Schizosaccharomyces pombe: one gene and its partners. The gene in region 4 interacts genetically with the main gene of each other region. Each region holds a gene or a part of one and is shown on either strand. Other genes may lie near its edges. The genes, in order: git3, SPOM_SPAC977.05C, SPOM_SPBC1604.03C and nap1.

Region 1 (6,531 bases), 1.1 Mb from region 4:
CACCGCTTAAGCGATTCCGCGGGGATGCGGGCATGACCCAAATGCCCCTTCGAAGTGATACATCAATTGAAAGTATTACTGCGTCACAACAACCCACTTGGGATGAAAACGTGGTGATAACTTCATCACCTTTTAATCCCAATCGTAATGCCTACTCTTACGGTGCAAACTCACAATACCCCATTATTGCTGCTACGCCGCTGAACTCTCAGACACAGGCTTCGTGGGTTGCTCAACCGGAGAACCAAGCATACGCAAATTTGATTCCATCACCCCCAACGACTTCACAAATCCTACCAACAGAACTTACTGAAGAGGAAAAGCAATTACGCTCCAAGGTATTATTCTATCTAAAACAAGACAGCTTCATCCAATTATGTCAAAGTTTGGAACGGGTATGGAACAAGATGTAGGAAGACAGACCAATTCAACTTAATCCCAAATTTAAAAAAGTAGTAAAAATGGAACGAAATCAGGATCGGAATGGTTATTTCGACAAAATTGATGTGTGACCACAATTTGGCAACCAAATGAGAAACTTCATTAAGTTCACATTCTTCGAGTACCGTGATAAAACATTTGTTGCAAATTTTGACATTATTTAACGAAAAGTTGGTCGAGATCTCAACTGCATATGATCGTTGCTGAGGATTAGCAAACAGAAACCGCCAACACAACAATGTTGAAATAAATTTCTCTACTTGTTGCATGACTCTTTTCCCTTAGGCTTGTCCATGCAGAGCATTAAAATCAAATTGAGAAGATCCCGTTCCGATCCTTGGGGTGTAAGCCTCCACCACGACACATAATCGGTATCAAAAGACAACTCTGAAAACTTTTTGATGGGGGAATTGCCGCAAGTACAGCATGAATACTAGTGTTAATAATGGGTCAGGTTACAACGGTTAAAATTGAGTTGGTGGTTGGTTTTGATAATTGACTTAACAATCCACGAGAGGAGTTCATGACATTAAGTACGAAAATGGTCAAATAGTTAGTTTAACTTCAAAAATAGACGAACCAAGTGGAGAAAGTAAATGTTCCGAGCACCAAAAAAAAAACATGATATTTTTTAAAGGGATGAAACAGCTAGAACGTTATGAGTGTAAAAAGGATTTTTTTTTTTTTTTTGGGTACTTCCGAGAGAGACAACAGTCTACAAAGCTTCACAATGATTTCAATGTCCGTGAAGTAAACCTTAAAATGTCGAATCGACTTTGAAGGGTTGCATGCGAATTATCAAATAATGTTTAAAAGTGTTGTCAATGGAAAATGAATCCCGTTTCCCATTTCACTTAATCTAGCTTATCTGCCTAATCGGCACTTAAGGTAGATGGAAACCAGAGAATATTCTTTTTTCCTCAAAACAAAAACGCCCCCGCTAGTAAACCTAAAGACAATACCGACTAACGATATTGTGATTTTCACTTGGTGGAATTGGCGGAAATGTTTTCAAAGATATGAAGGCATAACCGGATCAAACGGTTTCGACAATGCTAATAGAATTCTCTTCACGTGGACGAACCGGTTTCCAAGGAGAATAAAGACATAATAATAAAATTTAACACTCCTTGTTTTATTTCGACAATATTTATTGGTCTGGTCCGAATTGTTCATTTTGGTAACTACAACATTACTCCCTATTTTTAAGCACGTTTTCATTACCCCTAATTGAAACTTGATTCTATCAACTTTCAATTTACCGGGGCTCGTTTTATTATTCTATTCTCACCATCATTCGATTTTCGCTTCATTTCTGTTGAGGGACTGCTTCCTAGATTGGTGTTTAACGCTTATCGCAACGCATGGAGTTGCATTTCATCCATTTTCTTTTGAAAATAAAGTGTGACCTCTTCTTGTGCCTAATATTGACTTGACTTTAAACACTGTAAAAATAAACGCTGTTTTTTAAAACCATCAATAACTTTAAATCATCGGTTCCTTTTTTTCTTTTATAACGAGGACTTTCTCATTAACGCACTCTGAAATGATTCTTTTCACCCTGATTTTTTTTATGCGATTGTATTTGCTCCTCACGATATACTATACTAATCACTATCGTACTTAAAAAATAGGCCGATCGTCCGAACCTCGTTTGTCTGTGCAAAAACAACTCTCGTCATTCTTACACAAAAATTTCGTTTACAGCGATACTACAAATTTTTTTCATAAGTTATAATGGTTGGTGGTAGCACATCTAGGAGTGTGAAAGCATCGCCGATATTGTGTTAGTGCGACAAGGCTCATCAAGGGATTAGGGAAATTTTTTCTTCAATAGTCTTGCTAGAAAATTACTCGGAATTTGAATCGTTGTCGATATTTTTTTTTCTGAAATTACAATTGTTCATTGTCTCTGCGTAGGTGCAAATTTCTGATTTGCTCTACAGCTTGTGATCTTAAATCTACTTAGTCAATCGACTCTGTACTATTGACGCCTGGGCCCCCTCACATAATTCAATTGCGATCTTTTTTTTTATTCTTCTTCTGTGGACTTAAGGTGCGGAGACTTTGGTTTATTTGTCTCCTCTTGTGTTTCTGTCAAGCCCGTGTGCTTGCATATTTTTTCAGAAAAATCCCGCATTGGTACTTAACTACTGTACTTGCTATAACACCTTATCCATTAGTCGTTGAGGTATATTTGTGCATATTCACTACACACTCATACACAACAGCAAAGGCGGCAACTCTCCGCCATCATTACTTATAATCAAGCCAACTCCATCAGCCAACCCAAACCACGGCGCCTTCAATTGATTTGTCTTTTCCTTAATTATCGGTAAATTTCACCGATTTGATTTAGTACCGCTTTATTCACTGTACGGCGTTAATTGCAAGCCATACCGCCTCCGATTTCCCTATTCTTCAATATCCTTAAGAAGGTTCGCCACGCTATTAAGAGCCTTGCAAAACGTGCATAAGTGGCTTTGAGCTCTAAGTGACTTCACTAGTGCTTTCTTTATAAGCACAATACATCGTTGGTTGTTCACGTCAATTGCGCTTTTCTTCTTGCCAAGAGTGTCGAGACGGGACTGCGCTTTATTAATAATCGTCGGCACCGTTTTGCGTCCGGCTTTCCTGGTTGCATTCGTTTATCACTTTTGAGCTGCTTCGTCGGCCACGATTAAAGGAAAAAGCAGTAGATTTACTATTTCAACTTTTACCTTTAACAGTTTAATCGTGTGTCTACAACTTTCGAAAGAATAGTTGAGTTAATTGAAAAGTAAAGACGAGAAGCTTGTTTTTGGAAAAAAGAAAACAGAAACAAAAATAAAAGTACGGGAATTCAAATTCATATTCGAAACAAACTCGTTTAGTTTAGAGAGCTCCTTCTATATTGCCAGTTTGCTAAGTTTTTTACATCAACTTGAAGAGACTGTTTATATTCGCGAACGAAGCAATTTATAGAAAATCGAGGGTCAGATATGCAATCTTGGGTAATTGGATATACGAGATATACTATTTTTTGCACTTCTTAAGGGTAATAGGACTGATTACCCAAGTGGCTGAAAATTCTGTTTTGCTTTCTTGTTTGTCTATTTGAACATTTCTGAAGTCATAGATTTGTCTTTGGAGTATTCCTTTTTTTTTTGTCTTTTTTTTTGTTTTTCGTTCTGATATTGCTTTTCTTGTTTTTTACTTTCTCACCTCCTCTCCTCTCTTTTTTTTTCCTGTCTTCTTGAAGAGAAGTTTAAACTTTGTAATAAGGAACAAGGTTGCTCATGCTTCATTTAGATTATACGTTTAATGTTTCCGATGCCACGAGTACGAGTTCCATCATCATTGTCTCTCGCAGAGAGTTAGCTAACCTGAGAATCATGGTCATTATAGCTTCAGCCATATCTATCGTTTTCAGCTTAATTGCTATCTTCTGGCGATGGTCTCGTCGGCGAACAATACGTGAACAATTTCATATCGCTCTTTTTTCTGTATTGTTTATTCGTTCCATTGTGCAAATGATTCATCCATGTCTAGCATTAAGCGATCCTTTTTTTTGGGCTCCAAAACATCGATGCTTTACAATTGGATTTTTTCTTTTGGTACTTGTTCGGATGACTGATTATTGGATTTTTATCAACATATTGCATAATGCTCTTTTGGTGCTTTTCCCCCATGTTGATACTGAACGAAGGGGTCTATATCGTTTTCGGCATACTGTGTTTACACTGTCATTTGTAATTCCTTTAACTATTGGCGGACTTGCTTTTACCAATAAAAGAAATACATTTGTCAATTTACAAACCCGATGCTACCTTCCCTATACCCCTGTACGATTCATGTTTGGTTTGAATTGGTCATTTGATTATGCGCTAAGTATTGCAATTATTGCTTTACAAACTTGCATGTTCATCTCGATCAGAAGGAAAATCAAACGTTTCAAGAAATACTCACATCAACAAACAAATGTGTTTGATACTTTAAATGTCATTGATTCGTATCCTACCGCTCCGGATCAAGTAGCTCTTCCACCATTTCCCGACACCAACAGTACTTTAACATATACTCCATCTAATTCTCAATCCATTTACTCCTCGCAGTCTCAACCTTCTCCCTATTCGAGACCGTTACTATCCTCTGTGCATCCTAATTTGCCTCCTGGTTCGCAGTCTACTCCTGCTAATCTAAATCAATCAGGAATACATTTCGAACAGGATTTTAGGGATAGTCCAAATCGCACAAATGGCCTTGAAGATCACACGAGTTTTAAACTCAGTAGTCCATTGACTAGTGACGAAGATGGTGCTTCTAGTGTTTTGGCTGCATATGGAAATGATATGCAAGATGATCCCCTCCTTAAACAACGGAAACGCATTTTAAGTCAGTCTAAGTTTTTGTTTGCTTATCCTGCAATTTTTATCTTTATGTGGATTCTCCCTCAAATACAGATTATCGTTATACTTGCCCAACCGTTGCACTGCTCTGGTTCATGCAAACGATTCGCATTTGTTGCAGTCTTTGCAGACAACTTCGTTGCCATCTTTATTGCCTTGTCAGATTTTATTTGGATTTGTTATCGTGGCTACACGTATTTGAAGGAAAGAGATTCGAGTAAAAGTTATTGGGATCAAATAAAGGAGTTGACTTTAAAATGGTGGCGGGGTAAATTTGGTGAGGAAAAATAGAAGGATTTGTTCTTTTTATTTTTGTTTATGGTGAAGTCTCACAAGCTCCTCTTCTTGTATTATAATTTCTTTTTATGACGATTTTATTATCACTTTACTTCTTAAAATTTTCTCATAGCCTTTGCATTCATATGTCTTCCTTTTTTGTTAAAGCCATCCAGTGAATGACAATGGAATGTGAATGGAAACAACTGTGGTAAACCAACTAATATTTTAATATCTCCCATTTTTGCATCACCTCTAATATATGTCATACTTTAATTTTCGCTTCCCAGAATTTATTTCGAAGTATTAAATTTTGGCACTACTTAACTTGGCAAAAGGCTCGGATTGGAAGATGGTTTAAAGCTTGGCTGCTTCAAATTGATAAGGCCGCTCACAATTATCGATGTATATATATGTACTGTGTCTATGACAGTTTTCTATTCATCTCGGGGAATTCATTTTTGGAACGCTTAGTCGCCTAAACAATTCTTCCTTATATAGAATGTTTATGTTCAGCTTTACCAACTATCATTCACTCGTTTTCATTTTTCAGATGCTCTTACATTTTACTGCTTGCATTAAGCATCTGTCTTCAAAACTATATTCAAAATTTATGTCCCCAATACTATATTTCCTCAATACATAAAATGGATGGATTGTGCATAGCAATACGTTTATGTTCTTATTTTGTATATGTCGATGTGCGAATAGTCATTCACCATTAGCTATTCTTTTGTTGTGGATAAATCGCTTTTCTTCCTATACGATTTGTAAAATTGCGTCGGACATTTGTTCCATGCCTTCTTGTTACATATGAATGTGTTAATGTTTACAAATTTAATAATGTATTTTTTAGTTTTTCTTTACATTTGGTAAAGCAGAATGGTAGCACAGTATCTGATTGCTTTAAGCGTTTTAAGTCAATTGAGCATCCCGTGATTAGTAGGTTTTTGTATTGAAAACTATACGGTTATAGAGAAAAAAAGTAGATGTAAGATGGTTTTCTAAATAAAACAGTTAATTTTATTACATTGTAGTATATAAGCACGCTTGCTTGATTTTATTCTTTTCGGTACACCACCGCGAAACGCGACTCGTAACTTGTACTAAACACACCACTGAAAAGTAGACTACTCGTGGAATCAGCTGTAACTTTATATTCAATTATTTAAAAATCACTCTCTAAAAGATCGCAGATATATTTTTAAGTGGTTGATTTGCTTTTTCATCGCTCTTTAATTCACCCTAACAAACTTTCATAATTTGAGATAATACGTGCTCATGGCTTATGATGCTTTTGGCAAGCCGGGCTATGGTCCCGACTTCAATAGCGCTTTTTCTCCAGGAATGGGAGGAGGCGCTGGATTTAATGAATATGATCAATCGAGCCAGCCCAGCGTCGATAGAGTAAGTGGGATAAAATACT
Region 2 (2,932 bases), on a different chromosome or scaffold from region 4:
TTATAAACTGGAATTTGTAAACATCTCTTGGAAATTATATCAATCTTGAATATTGGCTCATCATTAAAAATCATAGTGGAATACTTGGTTGTTATTCGAGTAGTTAGTCAGAAGTTATTGTTTTGATACACATAACCTTACTTGAATAATGTTACAAAAAAGAAAAATTATAATGGAAATAGATGAATCTAAAACAAATTTAATTTTTAAGCGATAAAATTGAAACAAACATTCGTCAACAAACTACTCTAAAATTTCACCTGCTACTAGTTTTACTACGAAAACGTAATATACTAGGGTTTCACAAGGTAAGTCATACATTCTAAATTTCTCCTTCCAGCATTTTGAAAATATCTTCTTTGCTCTAGACTTTGTTAAATACAGATGTAATAATATATGTTAACCACAAACTGCACCTACTTGACATGTGAATGGATGATATCTAAGAGGTGAAATTCAAATCTAAAGTAATGTTATGCAACATCTGTTAATTGTGTTTGTATTTCTTCTTAAAAATAATTACACATTTAACACGAAGCCATGAAAAGCGTTAGAGGTTTCGCCTCTAACTGATTTAAAAAGGAAACCCAAATTTTTTCCCTTCTTAATTTATGTAAAAGTATTGAGAAATACCTAGTTATAAAGATGAAATTTCGAATATTTCAAATTTCATATAAAGAAAGATTTCTTTACAAGAAATGAATGAGTTTTAAGAATATATTCACAACAAAGCATTTGATAAAATTGATTTATTAAGTATGCATTGAAACATTCTAATGAGATTTTTTAAAGGAAACTGCAAAAAAATAGGGCGGTATATATGCAACTCGTTAAAGACGAGTAGTATAAGAATTGCTTCGCTTTCTTCAAAGACTAAATATGGAAAAAGAGTGGGGGATTACTATATTAACAAGTTTTCAGAACAGAAACAGAAACAATTACAACTATCTACAACCGAGAATCTCTTTAATTAATGTTTTCCAGTTCAGTCTGGTTGAAGATTCGTTTTTTGGCTTCTAAGTTAAAATCCAAGTAAATAACTGACGGGTATTTTATTTTAGAATAAATCGATAGGAATCCGAATCGTTTATAATATAATAAACGGGATAAAAGCTACTCATATTGCTAATGATAATCCAGTAGGCATACTACGACTGAAGAAACATAATTTTTTTTCGAATTTTTCCTTATCTAATGGAACCAGTACCATTTCGTGAATTAGCAGATTTTCATTTGTTTGTTTTGGCCTCGTTATTCAAATTCAATAATGTAATGGAAGATTTTCCAAGAATAATAGACGTTGATAACAATGGGTGGGAAACCGCAAATTTTGTTTGAAAATCAGAGGGAAGATCTACACAACAAAAAGAGCAACAAATTTGAGCAGTAGAGAAAAGACCAAAAAAGCGTGTGTTTTCTGAGACAAATGTGTCACAACTCGCCGATAAATTCGCAATCACATAAAAATTGGTATTCGTTATTGACTAGTGGGAAAACCACGTTACCTCAACGATTTGCAGTTGTTACCACTTTTGGTGACATTTCAAAAAGAAAAAGGTGATTTGCAACGTTTGAAATTGCGACGATCATGATCTACGCGAAAATATCTCATTTTATATATGTACGAGTTAATCTATTTTTGTTGCTGAAAAAAGAAAAAAAAAACTATATAAACCGACTAAAATCAAACATTTCTTTACAAACATTCAAAAGATATTTCCATATGATTTTCAAAAACTTAATATCTCTCTTTTTCATTGGGCTCGCTACCGCCATACGCTTCAACCTCACTGATCTTGAGTGTAGTAGACTACGCGGTCCGCATTGTGGTACGTATCTACTGAAAGTAGTAGGAACGAATGCTACATACGTTGGTGAAAAATCATTTATAGGTCTTGATGCTTTGACTGAAAGTAAAGGTGAATTTTTTCAGCGTATGTTGGAACAAGAACCTCGACTTATTCCACGTTTGTTTACGATAGCTGAAAACGACACGGCCAACTTTACTCCCTTGACATTTACAACGTATTTGAAAACATGCAATCCTCAAAGTATTGAAAATGCAATGATCCCTTTTGTGAATACTGTTACCAGTGAAATTTCTTTTGATGCATGGGCGTATACAGCACAAAATTCAAGTCGGATAACGGGTCTTAGCAACCAACTGATGAATTCTACTCTATATAATGTTCAAGTAGCAACATGTACTCCCGGATTCTCTGCGTTATTGTTAGATAGTCCTACAATCAATGTTTTTAATAACGAGGAAGGCATGCCAAGTTGGTGTCAGCCCATTGAACTTATACCAGTTTGTCCTTTGGATGAGGGATTCAACTGATATATATATAATCGTTATTTAAATCGTGGGATTTAAAAATAGGGGTTAAATTTATCCTCTAAAAACATTTAATTAGAAACGCTTAAGCAATAAAAGTCTTTATACTAGATAAAATATTGTAAATTGTTTTTTTTATTTTTTTTTTTTATTTTAAACTTATACTAAACATATTTTCTAACAAATAACGGAATTCATAAGTATTTTGATTTTGTTTATGTGTTTTTCGCTTTTTATTGTGTTTTAATGGTAAGGAAAAGTTATAGCATACTTCATTTTACTAGTGAAAAAAGCATAACAGGAAATCTTTTAAGTTAGCGACAAACAGTTACTCGGCTTCCAAGCGGTTGCAAATCATTCGTAGTAGATCGACAATCTTGGAATGAGTCTATCAAACAAATCCGCGCTAGGCAGTACGCTAAAATGAACAGCAACACATTTGATTTTACCGAGTATTGAGTATTCTCATCGTCGTTATAACCATTAACGGATTTGTACGTTTTGTTTATCTTCACAGAGCCAAGAGATCAAAGAAGGACTGAGGTGCGTTAAGTACGGTCCAACATGTAATTATGTTCTTTGTCACAAATTAGAGCC
Region 3 (3,802 bases), on a different chromosome or scaffold from region 4:
CACAGAAAGTTGACTGCATGGTCATTCATAGCGAGATTCTCTGTTAAATGTTTTAACTTTGAAAAAGCCACAAATTCGGCAGCACCATATACTAAGTAAAGCAGTTCAGCAACCACGTTTCCTCTCCACAAAGCTCGTACGCCTTCCTTCTGAACAGTCTCTTTAAAGACCGGCCTCAACGAAGACTGGGTAATTTGCATACGAATTTTTATCACATCAAATGGTGCTATCATAAATCTAGTTTAAATCGTTAATTGACTATTTCCCTGCCACTTAGCCATACCGACAAATTACGGATGAAATGCCACCAGCCAAAGTGTAATGCCAAACAGGTTGGGCAAACTCTTGCGAGTCCTTTTGCTTTGCAAGGCCCATCGATAGTGTTTGTTTCTACAATCGGCAATTAATTATTACAAAGCCGGAGGCGTAAGATTTGTTTAAATCTTATAACTGTTGGTTTAACTACAATCTCGGGTATTTTGTATTCACGTATAAGTGTAATGGGAGTTCAAAAATTTCGCCCACCGAATTACACGAACAAATACTGTTTGCGGCTTTTCCGATTAGACTTTTTGAGCACACATCTCAGTTAATATAGAATATTGATTAATTAACTTACCGGATGTAAGATGCCGGATCAAGTGTAGTTCACAGTTGTAAAACTAAAAAAAAAATCAATGTATACGGACGAAATTATGTAAAAAAAAGTCTTTGGCTGTTAAACGATCTTTTTAAAAATCTGCAATTTATTTAAAAGCCATGCAAGGAAATCCCAAAGTTTCCTTCCTTTAACTGAACACTTAAAGCCATAGTAAAGCAACTTTGAAATAACTCAAGTAATTTATTGAGCTTCAAAGAATTTGTCAATCCTGCTTTGTATTCGTGCTATCATTGAATACAATAGTCGGTACAAATTACTACTAGAGTTTGTACGCAACAGCTGGATATGACTAAAAACAAGAACATGTAGTTGTTAAATTAGTTAGTACTGATGTCTGCTACTTTCATCTTCTGTTTTCTTATGTTCAAAAGAATGTTATCGCTTAATATTTCAGTCTTGAGGAACGAAATGGATTTTTAAACGCAAGATTCCGCTTACATAATTTAATTGTTTCACAATAAAATAGCTATTTTGCTATATAAATAACTTTTTGAGATATTATAATCTGTTATTTTTTTAATAATAAATGTATGGTCAATTTCGTGTCCGTACGGATAAAATGTTAGAACATGCTACAAATTTCAAGAACAATCGCCTTTTGGTTTCTCGTTTACCCCATTCTGTTCGTTAGGCATTCTCAATTTAGTGCATTCCATACAACATCAATACGTTCATATTACAACATAAGACAGCTGAGATGGTAATGTGCAGGATGTATAAAAGTAATCCATCAAATACCACAACGAAATGAAATGAAAATTTATTAATTTTTTACTTTTGGAACACTTATAGCTCTTCTGTTGACAAAGCAAATATGCGTAGATTTTCCCTTCCTTCCCACGTTTTATTTACAGTAGACATCTGATAACTAAAATGTTTAAATCATTACTCTCTATTTTTTGGTAGCGCCATAAAAAAAAAACTATAAAAAAGCAATTAAAAAATAAAAATTTTATTATTTATATTAGTTTCTCTGTATATATGCAACTATGAGTGCGAGGTTTCAACACTTGTCGCATACACTCCTTTCTTGTCATGCACTTTTAAACAATTAAAGCGATTTATGTTAATTGCACATCAAACAAATTTATCGTAAAAGCTTCTTCAATTACTAGAAAAAATGAAGAAGGCTTTAGATGTATTCATACTCGACTTGACGTTTATCAAAGGTGAATGGTCTTTAGCTAAACCATTGCTCTAAGTAATGACTTTACATTACTGATATAACTATCTATCAATTCATGAAAATGATAAACCATCAAATACCTCTACCAATTACATATAAATTCCTCTTATTATCTTCTGTACCCCCTAGCTCGTTGTGTTTCACTATAGGGTTAGATGAACTGCATTTAACGATCGTCTCTAGGCCTGAAAAAAGCATAAAAATAGTTGATTTAAATTTTTTGACTCAAAAATGGGAGCCATTCTTTCGACACCTAAAACGCCAATAGAAGTTAGGAGGAAGAGAATTGTTCCTTTGTTTCGTGCTAATCACACACGATTTCGACCAGTTGATGAAAAGAACCGTATAAACGCTGTACCTCTTTTACTGTTAGGATGTTTGTATGGAAAGTACAAAGACGACGATTTTGTTGATTTTTTTGACAAAGCCATTCCGTTATTAGTACCGCAGACACACAAAGGTCTAGATACATACGAAATCGATGTATCCACATACAAAACTCACATAGGTCATCCAAAGTTTATTGAACCATTTGTACTATTCTATGGAGATAGGCTTGTTCATGATGCACGCTACAACCTCCATGAGTTAGTTTGGCAAACTTTAAGTCGCAACCCTGAATATATCAAAGGTCTGTGTTACGATAGTTGTACACCACTTGCTAATCTAGCCGTTGGTCTCAGTCTTAATATTCAAGAGGTTCTCATTGATTGTTTTGCTACTGCTGCTTGTTTTACAACAGAGGATACTAGTATTAATCCAATCCCTACCTTGCCTAGTGTTTTTTGTACCATAGTTGACGATGAGGGTATTTCTCTTAAAGAGCTTCTCTACATTATTGAAGAATCTCTTCTTAAAAATGCAATTCCTGATCCATTTTCCGTCTCTACCTACACTTTAAAGTCTGCCTTTGAGCATTTGGTGAAAAAAGATTTCCTAAAGTATTATACTGCGTATCTGGCGTCTTCTGCTGTTGACTACATAGATGCCTATTTTACTGAAAGTTTTGGATCTTTTTTTATTTCTCGTCTTGCTTCACAATTTTTGGTCTCTTTTCAGACTCTCCCTTCTTTCTTCTCCTTTCCTTTAGTTACTGATAATTGGCAACACTTGGCTGCTCTGCCATTCAACAGCACTTATGAAACCTTTCGTGCATTCGATCATCCTTCTACTAATGGGCCAGCTATCGGTCCTTTGTATAATGCCGCTCCAGCTCCCCGTTAGCATTTACTTAAGTTTATATTACATTTGTTTAGCATTTTTTTGTTAATTGAGTAGACTTAATGAATATTACTAAATGTCTCGTTATATGCACTATCAAATTTGTAAGCCCTCGTTGGGAAGTAACCCGAACAGCTCTCGTTGTGTTGACTCCTTTTATTCACAAAGCACAGAGAAGCTAGACATTGCCGGTGTCGTGCTTTTATCATCGCATTTTATCGTTTTAGTTTAGTTTTTGTTAACCCATAAAACCCCCCTCTCTTTAGCCTGGTTGCAGACAAAATTTGGTACCCTCAATATTTTTTGCTTCGTCTAACGCTCAGCTAGCGGTTATCTACCAACCATAGGTTATTACCTTTTATTTATATATAATATTTCTAGTAGTTTATGCAGCTGCTATTTCATTAGTTTCTTTGCATATGCTGAAAAGGGCTCATTATGTAGCCCTCCATGTCACTCTTAATCATAATGGGCTGTCTTATCAAAGAGTTTTCAGTTGCTTGACACAATTTCCTATGTTAAGGCATTCAAGTACTGCTGCCAAAAATAATGTTTCGATGATTTCAAAGTTTCAGGCCCCCGAAGATAAGTTCTTCCCTTCATTTTCTTTAAAATCTATGCCAAAGCAATCGTCGCACATGTCGGCTTCATTGCTTAATAGCCTTAATACCAGCATGAAAAAGTCATTTTCTCGTAAAAAGTACAGGGAAGCCGTAAGCTTGTTTCGAAAAAAT
Region 4 (4,832 bases):
AGCGTTCATTTTTGTGATCGCCAAATATTTAGTAAATTCTCTGCTGTGAATACTGCGTCTACCTCAAAAACTTCTGATACGATAGAAAGGGCTTCTTTTAGCAAGCCTTCATTTATTTTTCTTACGAATAAATCTTGGGGGTTTGGCGCTGAAGCTCATTTTATGAACAAACTAGAATTCAGTATTACCATAGGCGATATTGAAGCCCCTCTGCGTCGAGTGAGTAAGCGATTGCGGAATCCGAAGAAGTATGGAATAACCAATGATGTCGCTTATCTTCAATCTGCTTATTTGGAGCAAATCTCGGCATTACAGTATTGGAAGCAAGGACAGTATGAAAATTCTCTCTCTTTGCTTGAAACTTCCAAAATTGATCCTCGCGTAGTTATCTCCCTCTATCCAGATCTCTATCATTCGGAGCTTTCCTATATTGCTTTTCAAGGTGTCATTAGTTTTCGCAAAAGCATATTGTCCGTCGATGATACTGTTGCTAATGTTTTAAAATCTAATGAATTGTTTCGTGATACTGATCAATACACTCAGAGACAAATGATTGAAATTACTAAGGAAAACGCATACATCATGTTGATGCGTTATCTGAAAAATTACAAAAAGAACACGAGCATATCTGAGTATCTTTTATCTTCGCAAAGAGACGTGATGCTTGCTGTAGAGCATTCGTTATTACTCCTTTATTTAAATATGGATGATTTAGCCGCCGGTACCAAAAATGCTAAGGAGTTGTTAGAGTCTGGTCTAACTGGTGTTGAAGATATAAAAGATGTGTTGATACAGAAGAAAGAGTATTATTTACTCTCCGTGTTATTGGCTACTGTAAGGGATCACGATGGTGTTCTTCAAACTTGGAAGAAATTAATAACAGGGGATTATGAAGATCGGAGATTCAACGATGGGTTAATTAAAATACGAGAATATTTGGTTAATGATATTGAGCCTTCGACATTCTGGGAATTTACTACATGGCTTTGTAAACACGATGCAACGGAGGGTACGCGCGTTTTGCTTGACAAAACAGTTAGTGGATCCATTTCTGCAGAGGACGTGTTAGAGCATTTGGATTCTTCTCAAGATGATGTTTTGATTGATTACCTTGTAAAGTCGAATTCCGTCACTCATCGAGCGCTACTTTTAAAGTTGTGCGTTAATAAGTTGCTTGGCAGTTTATTGGATCATAACGATTTTAAAAATCGCCTTGAGACTGCCATTGAAACATTTAGGGAGCTTCCTTGCATGGAGAAACCTACGTATGCCCAATACTTGGAACAACTTTGGGGGGACATGAGTGATTTCAGTACTCATCTTTCATTTTACTATTTGTGTTCTATTAATCTGATGGAAAATGTTGAAGAAGAATCTATAGATAAAATAAAAGATATTTTGTTCGACATTCATGTTGACAATTTATATCTATTTCCTCAACTTGAACACTCGTTTTACAAAAGGAAGAAGAATTATGAAAAAGCTTTATCCGTTTTGGTTACGAATATTCATGACTATAAGGGCGGTGAAGCATACTGTCTTCAAATTGATGATGTTTATCCTCAGTGTTGGTGCAATTTGCTCGAAAAATGTATATCAACAGGAGATGGATGTAGTGATTTTATTAAAGAACTATTGTATCGTCGACCCTTTTCTTATACGCTTTCCTACGTGTGCGAGCAAATTCCAGATCATTGGAATCTTAACTTATTAGCAGATTTTTTGTGTATATTGCAAAAAAGAAATGCTGAGCGTTTGAATGAATCCCAAACTCGTTTAACACTTGAGAAGTCGTTGTCTCAAAATTTGGAAGAGTTGTTCATGGCTATTAATCGTCGTAATGTAGCCTTGGGCAAAAACGAAATTTAACCCAGTAACATTTAAAAAGTAACCTTTGGTTCAGCAAAGTTTTTACCTCAATTTTCGATACTTATTCGACTGATGTTTAATTTAATGATAGAATAATTTCAATGAGACAAAAAGATTCTAGCTTCAAAATGTTGTTAGAATATAAAGGGCTTTCTTCTACAGTTAATTCAGCTCTTCCTGATCTTTACTAGTCTTAAAAATATAAATAATATTAACTATGAGCCTAAATTCATCGAATTTTATTTTTAAAAACCCCCTTCGGGAATAAAGAAAGTGTCCGTAACACAACGATGCACTGTTCACTAAGGTCGGAAACCCCGAGGATGAGCTCGGAAGTTCCGCGGGTAGGTAGATTCCCAGGGTGCAGCAAATATTCTTACACTTAGCTTCTACCACTACCCTTCCCAGTGTTATTAAAAGGACGTACGGAAAGCGTCTGAAGCATAATTGATTGCTGGAACAAGTAGAATTAATATGGTAGAGAACGTTAATATTAATAACAAAAGGGCCGGAAAAATGTCTGCCGCCCCAACTCCCCATAACACCCCATCGGGGACGAGCGCTCCCAACTTTGGTGCGAAGGCTCCTCAAGTAAATACTATTGACGAAGGAGATGAGAATTTAGAGGCTATCGACGGAAAATTGGGTTCTTTATTACATCTCACTTCAGAAGGAGTTTCAGAATTGCCTGAAGCCGTGCAAAGAAGGATTTCTGGACTTCGTGGTTTGCAAAAGCGATACAGCGACTTGGAGTCTCAATTCCAAAAAGAGCTGTTTGAGTTGGAAAAAGCTTATGCAAAGAAGTACGCACCTATTTTTAAGAGAAGATCTGAGGTTGTTCGTGGCGCTGACGAACCTACCGAGGAGGAAATTAAGAAGGGTGAAGCTGCCGATGAGAACGAAAAGAAAGAACCTACTTCTTCTGAGTCTAAGAAACAAGAAGGTGGTGATGATACTAAGGGTATTCCTGAGTTCTGGTTGACCGCTATGAAGAATGTTTTGTCTTTGTCTGAAATGATTACTCCCGAAGATGAAGGAGCTTTAAGTCACCTTGTGGATATTCGCATTTCCTATATGGAAAAGCCTGGTTTCAAATTAGAATTTGAATTTGCTGAAAACCCATTCTTTACTAACAAGATTCTCACCAAAACTTATTATTACATGGAGGAATCTGGCCCGTCCAACGTTTTCTTGTATGATCATGCTGAGGGCGATAAGGTTGATTGGAAAGAAAATGCCGATTTGACTGTTCGTACCGTTACTAAAAAGCAACGCAATAAAAACACTAAACAAACTCGTGTCGTAAAGGTTTCCGTTCCTCGTGACAGTTTCTTCAACTTTTTTAATCCCCCAACTCCTCCATCTGAGGAAGACGAAGAATCGGAGAGCCCTGAATTGGATGAATTGTTGGAACTTGACTATCAAATCGGTGAGGACTTCAAAGAGAAACTCATTCCTCGTGCCGTTGAGTGGTTTACTGGTGAGGCTTTAGCTCTTGAAAACTATGACGGATTCAGCGACTTAGATGTTGAAGAGGATGAAGATGATGTTGAATCCTCTTCTAACGAAGAAGTTTCCGATTCCGATGAGGAGGACAGTGATAGCAAGCACACTGCTCATGGCCAGCAAAACGCTGCTGAGTGCCGTCAGCAATAAACAATTTCGATAATGTGCATATATTATGGGGTTAATAACAATGGGTTTTCTGTGTTTTGACTAAAGGAAAGATACTTGAAAAGTATGATTCTTGAGGTTTTCATGCAACATTTGTAAACCTTTTGTTGTACAGGATAGGTTCGGACCACATGTGAGTGCTTGCGGACGAGATTCTGCAAGTTTATAAAGTTTTTAAATATCTTCCAATTTATCGAGTTTTTTTCGTTTATCAAATAAAAATGCTTACAGTCGACGTGTTTTATTTTTTACTGGAATTGGTGGTTTTGAGATGAATGGCTTTAAAAGACCTAAACGACATCGTCTACATAATGGGAGGTGTGATCGTTCTTGGCGAATTTTCCGAGTTTCTAGTTTGAGTACGAAAGCCTTTAAAGATTTTGGAATGCTTATATTTGATCAATCATGATGAAAACGCTCGGACAAACTTGGACGTTTTAATATTTTCTTGCCTTTTTTTTCAATCAAATGCTTGCGAAAAGAACTAGTGATAGTTTTTTATTGTTAGTTTAGACCAAGTTGAAAACACTGACTGTAAAAATTGACCTTTAGTAAAGCTTAAAAAAGAGAACCCTTTTTACGAGCTTTTCTAGAAAATAATGCTTTGTTTTGACTTAGAAGTAAGCAATTGAGAATTCATAGTATGAATGGGTTGCATCCTAGTTAGTCTACTCTACCCAAGAAGTTGGGAAGGTATAACTAAACCCGATGTGTTTACATAAAAGGCTATTTCGAAAGAAATGAGTGTCAAAGTTTATCAAAAATACGATTTGTTTTTTTTTCGTTTTTTTAGACATAAAGAAGCTTGCAATTCTTGGAGTAAGAAGGAAACTAAAAAAATGCGGAGCGCATTGTAAAAGAGTGTTCGGTTGTTATAGTAAGTTCGTCTAGCGTTTAACAGATACCAGTTTTGTTTTTTAAAGTTAGAATCATCAAATAATGGAGATGATTACAATTGGGATGGAGGATTGCATACTACAATTTATCTTAGTCTAAATTTAAAGCATATTTGACATATCTCTTACAACATCTAATATTTTAATTTTAATACTTGCCTTAAATATATTATAGCTTTTATAATTTTCGACTTAGACACTATGCCTGAGTGGTTAAAGGGACAGACTAGAAATCTGTTGCGGTCTCCGCGCGCAGGTTCAAATCCTGCTGGTGTCGAAAATTTTTGGCAATTTTTATATTGAAAATTCTTTATATTCATTTGCAACTTAAGAATGTTTTTAGTATATAATGCAAAGGTCCTAAATAAAACAGCGTCCAATTTGATGGAATGC

What was found.
Region 1: mutations in nap1 (region 4) and git3 together harm fitness more than expected from each alone (negative genetic interaction), as found in Schizosaccharomyces pombe (one large-scale study listed by BioGRID).
Region 2: mutations in nap1 (region 4) and SPOM_SPAC977.05C together harm fitness more than expected from each alone (negative genetic interaction), as found in Schizosaccharomyces pombe (one large-scale study listed by BioGRID).
Region 3: mutations in nap1 (region 4) and SPOM_SPBC1604.03C together harm fitness more than expected from each alone (negative genetic interaction), as found in Schizosaccharomyces pombe (one large-scale study listed by BioGRID).

The regions. Positions count from the first base shown.
Region 1 is NC_003421.2:1,541,770-1,548,300, reverse strand, and holds git3 (G-protein-coupled receptor Git3), read left to right. Parts: upstream 1-2,205; 5' UTR 2,206-3,719; coding exon 3,720-5,120; 3' UTR 5,121-5,968; downstream 5,969-6,531. Other genes in the region: meiotic recombination protein Rec7, read left to right, coding at 1-413; single-stranded DNA-binding protein Ssb2, read left to right, coding at 6,387-6,512. UniProt on the Schizosaccharomyces pombe protein: G protein-coupled receptor (GPCR) that senses glucose and signals via the heterotrimeric G protein alpha subunit gpa2 to activate adenylate cyclase and PKA signaling, and suppress sexual development and gluconeogenesis.
Region 2 is NC_003424.3:35,174-38,105, reverse strand, and holds SPOM_SPAC977.05C (Vel1p domain-containing protein), read left to right. Parts: upstream 1-1,723; coding exon 1,724-2,338; downstream 2,339-2,932.
Region 3 is NC_003423.3:3,924,936-3,928,737, forward strand, and holds SPOM_SPBC1604.03C (uncharacterized protein), read left to right. Parts: upstream 1-2,034; 5' UTR 2,035-2,078; coding exon 2,079-3,071; 3' UTR 3,072-3,164; downstream 3,165-3,802. Other genes in the region: SPOM_SPBC1604.04 (thiamine pyrophosphate transporter), read right to left, coding at 1-237, 284-375; PPR repeat-containing protein Ppr1, read left to right, coding at 3,488-3,802.
Region 4 is NC_003421.2:473,083-477,914, reverse strand, and holds nap1 (histone H2A-H2B chaperone Nap1), read left to right. Parts: upstream 1-2,253; 5' UTR 2,254-2,343; coding exon 2,344-3,525; 3' UTR 3,526-4,317; downstream 4,318-4,832. Other genes in the region: GTPase regulator Vps3, read left to right, coding at 1-1,869.